Linked DNA regions of Yarrowia lipolytica. The protein of the gene in region 1 binds, or shares a complex with, the protein of each later gene. Links are inferred from orthologs where the notes say so. Each region holds a gene or a part of one and is shown on either strand. Other genes may lie near its edges.

Region 1 (3,680 bases):
TGCTGCTGAAGAAAGAGAAGACCATTGAGACTCTGGAGATCAAGATTAAGCACTACGATTCAAAAGCCGAACGGTTCGCCGAGAAGGAAGAGGCATTTGTGCAACTCCGAGCCAACCTCAATGAAGCTGCTCTTACGGAGAAACGACTTCGTGATGATGTGGAGAGTCTCAAGGCCAAGCTGGAGCAGAAGAACGCCGATGCCCAAAGGTTCAAGACTCATGTCCAAAACCGACTCAAATTGTCTACGCTCAAGGGGGAAGATATAGTAGATATGCATTTAAATACGCTCCATCAGTCTCAGATGGAAACCGAGCTTCAGAGCCTGCGCCAGACGGTCCGACACCTGACTCTGGAGAACTCAAAGGGTCGAGACGACCTCGATTGGATGGAAGACCTGAAACCCCCCATTGTCAAAGCCCATCCTTATCTGCCTCTGAAAACGCAGGCCGCTTTTCATCAGCTACAGAAGCTGGCACAAGCAGCCACGCCGTTGAAGCTCGACGACAATCCCACTGGCTGGAGACCTCGAAATCAGCTATCCAAACATGTCGCAGCACAGCAAAGACTGCAGTTTGAGAGATATCAGGCCATGCTTTTGGAATAGATTATTCTCCAGACTTGACTCGAGGCCAAGGTTTTACTCGGTCAATGGTGTGTCTAGGCCAAAACAACTCCAGTATAGCATATAACATAACATCGACGCATACGCAAATGACAAAGAGTTTTCCAGCCCATTCCCCGCACGCATAGAACTTTGCCAGTCGGTCCAACAGTGGCTCATTCAACGATTCCTCATTGATTGAGTCGTAGACCTTTTCAGTTCTCCTTGCGACCTCCGACCACTTGTACATGCCCTTGATTTCGTTGTAAAAAGTGGTTGGGTCGACCTCCTTCTTCTCCAAGATCGCAATCGCTTTCATAGTCGAGTCCACCAGTGAGTCTTCCGAGGGGCTGGCAAATACTGTCATGTGCGAGGGCAGCACCTCTGGAATGCCACCAACGTCTGTAGTGACCACAAGTAGACCACAACTAGCGGCCTCAACAATGACGGTTCCAAAGGCCTCCGTCAGAGTTGGATGCAAATAAATGTTTCCTGTGACCATGAGATCACGCACTTCTTCGTGTCGAATGCTACCAATCAGCTCGACTCGCTCCTGCAGTCTGTATCGTTCTCTCATTTGCTGCAGATCGATTTCCTTGGGTCCTGAACCTGCAATGAGGAACTTAACGCGTGGGTGGAGTGCGCAGATTCGTGGGATGATGACGGTGAGCAGATCGGCTCCTTTATTAGGGTAGAGACGTGATATGACAACAATGGTGATGTAATTGGGGTCTGCTCTGGTTGGATCAGGGGTGAATGCTTTAGAGACGACGGCGTTGGGAATGACACTGACAATTGAAGGGTCCAGAGATGCTCGCAACACTGTGTTTTCCTTGCAGGTGTGAGACACGCAGATTACATGGCCAACATCAGACAGTGTGAATTTCAGAGCCTTGTTTCCAGCGATGCTTCCCGCGTCAGCAAAACCAAACAAAGAGTGGTCTGTAAACACGGTCTTCATGCCCATGGTTCTTGCATGCAAAATGGCTTCATGGCACAGAGACGAGAGAGATCCATGGCCGTGCACAATGTCAATATTTTCGCGAATGAAGATGTTTCGAAGAATAGGGAATGCAGAGAAGACTGAGGGAAAGGTGGAGTTTCGATAGAGCACGAAAAACGGCACGTAGTACACCTTAATTCCGTTGGTGAGGATCCGCACTCCTGTTCGGCTGTCGTATGCGTGTGTGATGATGACTACCGAGTGGCCACGTTGTTTGAGTCGTTGAGACAATTGGTAGACATGCAATTCCACCCCACCTGGTTGCGGATAGAAGAAGTCCGATACCATGGCAATGTTGTACGGCATGGTTGGCGTTGTGGTGGTATGTTACGACTGGTGTGTCTTTGGCCGTAAGTAATTCCAAAGATGCGCGTCTCGTCACGTGAACTGCATCATGGTGTGTACCCGAAACTTTATTGGCCGTTCGGAGATAACGGAGCATGGTTCAACTTAAACATGAGCATACATCATGGGCGAAGCGAATGGTATGTGTGTGGTCGTCCATGACTTTTTTGCACCGGAGAACACTTGATATGACTACGTTTTCACTTATTCTTCACTATAATACAATATCTACTATAATACACAGACGGGTAGATCCCAACTTTTTGGGCTTAGGCTTAGGCCATACCTTCAACAAGGAACTCCTTTTTAGAGGACCGGAGGTGTTCCATTTGTTTTCGCTCGAGTTGCAATTCTTTTTCTCTTTTGATAACTTTTCGCTGAGCCGCAGTTTTGGTGATTGTCTCTTCATGTGCACTGGCCAGCTCGACTAAATGATAGAGGTTCACTGGCAGAGAAAAGAGTGTGTAGTCCCGTTCCAGCTGCTTGTTTTCGGCCATAATAACAGCAATGGCTCTCAGACGGCCAGGTCGATTGTTTCGCTTGACCCGCTTGCTGCGTTTCAAGGAAACAGTAGGTCAGGCTAAGGCAACGTTTTCATTGTTGGGGGGCTTGCGGTAGCAGAGCTCTTTACCGGCAAGGAGATTCATGGGACTAGAGAGCTCACAGTACCGAATGGCGTACCATGTCCACTTGGCAACAGGAAGGTAGCCTAGCCGTCCTGTCTTTTGAGAGTTGTATTTCTTGGTTATCTCGGCCTGAAGACAGGCCTTCTTCTCTCTGTTGAGCCCAACGACGTAGTCACGCTTGAAGATGGTATTGGGCTTGCTGTAGAAAGCGTCCCTGATATCATCACTCTCGTAAAACTCTGAAAAGCTGGTGGAGTCACAGGGATGGTTAGATAGAAAGGGCATTGTTGGTGTGGTTGGAAATTACATCGACTTGTATCTACTGTAACTCTTATACATCTTCTGCCCATAACCACTGTCCCTCCATAAACTGCACACGCCGTATAACACATAAACTATCGATACGCCCACGGGCTGCCCTTATGAAATCAGTATTAATTGAGGGACATGGAAGTGTGAGGGCATAAGATCGTGATTGAGATTATATAGGTTATAAATACTGAAATAAAACTAGCACCTGTGATAACGAAGGAGCAGAGTGCCAGCAGGTAAATGGTTAGTATAGACAAGAATATGAAAGCGAGGGGGAGGGCTCTAGAAGATTGCACAGAGCGGAGGTACGGCATAGAATACCGTCGAGCGGTTACTGTCAACACTAATTAAGTGGAGGTGGAGTTGGTGAGGTGGGGGCTGGGTTAGCTACGGACGCTGAGCGACACAAGTCGGTGTGCGGGAAAAAAGAAGAAAGGAGTAAGAAAAGAGAAGGAAGAAGTCAAAGACATGAAGAAGTCAAAGACAAGAAGAAGAGAAGGGAAGACGAAGAAGAGAAAGGGAAGAAGAGGAATAAAGGAGAATAAAGAGGAATGAAGAGGAATGAAGAGGAAGAGTGCCAAGAAAAATGCGAAAAAGAAGCCACTTGAAAAGTAGATGTCGAACATGAAAAAGAAACCAAAATGAAAAATTAAAATGTAGATTAATCAAGAACGTCTTGATCATTTTTTGGGGTTAGTAGTTGTCGTAATACTCACATCAAAATGACGCCAAGTCCAAGTAAGGCCAGCAGACCTAGACCAGCGGCGACATCGCTTCCATCACCAGTATACT
Region 2 (3,394 bases), on another chromosome or scaffold:
AGGGAAGGAACCGTGCTCGTGTCTGCTGGTGCAGACCAGAGCATCCGAGTGTGGGACGTTAAGAAGAGCACTGTGGAGTCTGGACCTGAGCCTGAGAACCTGTCAGTTGAACGAGCCCCAGAGGCTGTATCTTCTGCTAAGGGTAACGAGGCATCCAAGAAGCGGGAGATTGTAGCAACCCCCGATCATATGGCTGTCTACCACACTAAGAGCAGCCCGGTTTACAAGGTGCAGTTCACTAGCAGGAATCTGTGTTTGGCTGGAGGAGCCTTCAATGGTTAGGTGTAATGTATTATAATTGACATATTAGCAACAAGAAATGAGCAAGTGCTTGTAGAAATAGAAATAGACCTTATCGCCTGGGTTTACAGATGAAAAAGAGGTTTTATTAGTGTGTGTGTTTAAATACAGAGGTTCTATTGTTGTCTGATCAGCACTTGACAGACGTGGATGTAAAGTGGCAGGGAAATAAGCAGTGTCTGTGGCTCGAGAATCGAAAGTCACGGACGATTTCGAATGACCGGCTTGGCAATATCCCATGGGCCTTGAATGTCGTTTTTGTATTTCTGAAGGGCCAGAAGCCACAGTGGAGCACCCACACTGACAAAGAGCTTAACTCCAATCCAGGCCCCCAGTGCCCACAGCCCTCCAATGACATAGAGGCCTGTAGCGGATAGGATCAGCAGTATGGACAGGAGCACCCAGTACCCGCGTCTGGAGGTGGCACGACACCATTGTGTAAACATGGGGAAGACTCCAAAGAGAATGACAGAAAAGAGCACGAAGCAAAAGACTGCCATTGTTGTACGCAGTTGAGAAGCTAGCACTATTGCTGCCAGCATAGCGAGATTTGTTGACAGAATAGGACGAGTCAATTTGAGCGAAGACGCGCCTGAAGCAGTGCGGGCTCCATCAGTGTAGTCGTGGAAACACACGTTAGCGAGCCCCAGCCAGCAGGCGATGGCCCAGATTGAGTCTGACGATGTGGATCGTGTCAGCGACTTTAGCACTGGTGACAGAGCAAGAAGGACAAATACAATGAGTAGCGCTCCCTTTATCGTAGAGGGTCGGCTCTTGTCGTCATTGTGGATCTTGTACTTCTCGTATACAAAGTATCCGGGCACTGTGAGCACAGATGCGATGATCGCAAAGAACTCGGGGTCCCACTCATGGTTGAATATGCCCAAAAACACCACCACAAAGACGACGATAGTGCACAGATGCATGATGATCACACTAGAGTCGAGAAACAGTGAGCGGAACGAGTACTGAGCCACATTGTCGTTTCGGCGCAGTTGCGACAGAAAAGACGAGTCCACATAGTTGTCGGGGTAGTCCTGCTTGACCCACAATAGTTTCTTCCATGGCGGACGAGTCGTCGGTTGGCAGTCGGGGAACACGGCGTCCGGATCATCAAAGCCCGATTCTTCCGTTAAAGGCTCTCCCTGCACTCCGGTCCATTCTCCTGTGGCTCGAGACCTCAGTTTCTGGATCCCGCGCGACATGTTGGCATCAGCAAATTAGCTTTGGTGAAGAGGTCAGCTTAAAGTTGGTGTTGGACAACATCAGATGTGTCGAGAAAGCGAGCATGAGAGGGTGATAATAGTGGTCAATGTGGGCGGAAAGACTCATTGAAGTTGAAAATCAACTTTTTAACATACAGGTAGATAAAAGAATGCCACACAAATTATTTATGGTACCACAAAATCAACCCATATTCCCTCTGCAATAATAAGACTGCTAAACTACACGTGCATGATCTGCAAGGGACGTTTAGATCGGTCGATGAAGTTGATTGATCTTTGAGGTGATAATATCCGAATAGTAATTACAGGTAAGTTGTTCGCTAAGACGATGAATGTCTCGGAGTCCTGGTGTTTATGCTTTAATATTATGTTAATCTCAGATATATTAGAAAGGAACGGAACGCGGAACGCGGAACTGATGTGGTAGCTTGACCACTGGAATCTATGCGAGCTATTTAGTAAGATGTGGGAGAAATTTCAAGTGCGAGTGAAAGAACATCCAGTTAGAACATGGTTCCAAAGTTGCTTCGTCCAACTTCTCGCCTGCTGTGAGTGTTGCCCTTGTTGGTCTCCTCCAGAATGTTGTTATTGGGGTTTCGAGAGTGCCTGAAGGTGAAGCCGACAAATGCTCGGTGGGGGATGGGGTTGCCCTTGTCAGCAAGGTTCTCGACCTGTGTTCGCTTGGCCATCACCTCCTGGTACTTCTCCATATCAGCCTCGTTAGAGAAATCATCAAAGTAGCCAGCGTCAACATCCGAGTCGAGCTGGGGGATGAAGGGAGGAGTCTTTTCTCGCAGAGTCTCCCATTCAACCTCGGCAAAGTAGGGGTGCTTGGCAATCTCGTCGAAAGACCGCAGTCTGTATCGAGCGGAGGTGATGAGTCGTTGGATGAGATCCCAGGTTCGGTCCGAAAAGACGTATCGACCATCATCGTACTTGGGCCGCCGAAGAGCGTTCTTCCACTGTCGCAAGTTAGAGTATGTCTCGTCAGGAGAAGCTCCAGCGAAAGGAGGGTAGCCGGCCAGAGTCTCGAACAACATGCAGCCCAGAGACCAGTAGTCAATTGTGTAGTCGTAGTTCTTTCCCTCCAGAACCTCCAGAGCCATGTAGTCAGGAGAGCCAACAATGGAGGAGGCGTAGTTAATGTCCGAGGCTCGCAGAGACCGGTACATCTTCTGTCGCTCGGTGAGCGATCTATGGGTGACCTGGACATCCTTGACGGCATCAAGACGAATTTTCATGCTTTCAACTCGGTCCTTGGAGATTGCTCCGGATGCAAGACCAAAGTCAGTCAGCTTGATGTGACCTGCCGAGTCGATGAGGAAGTTCTCGGGCTTGAGATCTCTGTGGATGTATCCGAGCTTGTGGAGGGCCTCCAGTGATGCGAACATCTCGGAGATGTAGAACCGCGCGTGTCTGGGGTTGAGGATGCCGGTGTTATTAAGCAGAGTTCGGTAGTCTCCTCCAGGGACAAACTCCATGGCGAGGTAGACAGACTCCTGGTCCTGGAAGGCGTAAAGCAGCTTGACAAGCCACTCGGACCGGGCAGCCGTTAGAATGTCTCGTTCGGTAAGAATGTGTCTGATTTCGTCCAGTTTAAGCAGCAGCTTCTTGTTAAGCACCTTGAGGGCGCAAATTTCCCGGGTGTCGGCCTTCTTGGCCAGGAACACCTGTCCGTAACCTCCCTGGCCGACTTGGGTAAGGATCTGGAAGTCGCCGTGCTTGAGACGGGTTCGACGCTTTCGCAGGTGAGCTCTTTCTCGGCCGACATACGACTTCCATTGAGTCTCAGCCTCGGCTTGGGGGACGCCTCCAAGAGCAGCCTTGGCTTTTCCAAGACGCTGCTGACGGCCGTGTACGTAAGTCAG

The links.
Region 2: YALI1_A21509g (region 1) and YALI1_B18764g share a complex: the UniProt entries of both Saccharomyces cerevisiae proteins name them as parts of the phosphatidylinositol N-acetylglucosaminyltransferase (GPI-GlcNAc transferase) complex. The link is inferred for Yarrowia lipolytica from reciprocal best matches to the Saccharomyces cerevisiae genes SPT14 and GPI2.

The regions. Positions count from the first base shown.
Region 1 is NC_090770.1:2,149,097-2,152,776, reverse strand, and holds YALI1_A21509g (uncharacterized protein), read right to left. Parts: upstream 1,912-3,680; coding exon 607-1,911; downstream 1-606. Other genes in the region: YALI1_A21550g (uncharacterized protein), read left to right, coding at 1-605; YALI1_A21499g (uncharacterized protein), read right to left, coding at 2,226-2,502, 2,632-2,861; YALI1_A21477g (uncharacterized protein), read right to left, coding at 3,236-3,266, 3,605-3,680. UniProt on the Saccharomyces cerevisiae protein: Catalytic subunit in the complex catalyzing the transfer of N-acetylglucosamine from UDP-N-acetylglucosamine to phosphatidylinositol, the first step of GPI biosynthesis.
Region 2 is NC_090771.1:1,874,533-1,877,926, reverse strand, and holds YALI1_B18764g (uncharacterized protein), read right to left. Parts: upstream 1,506-3,394; coding exon 501-1,505; downstream 1-500. Other genes in the region: YALI1_B18798g (uncharacterized protein), read left to right, coding at 1-282; YALI1_B18741g (uncharacterized protein), read right to left, coding at 2,030-3,394. UniProt on the Saccharomyces cerevisiae protein: Part of the complex catalyzing the transfer of N-acetylglucosamine from UDP-N-acetylglucosamine to phosphatidylinositol, the first step of GPI biosynthesis.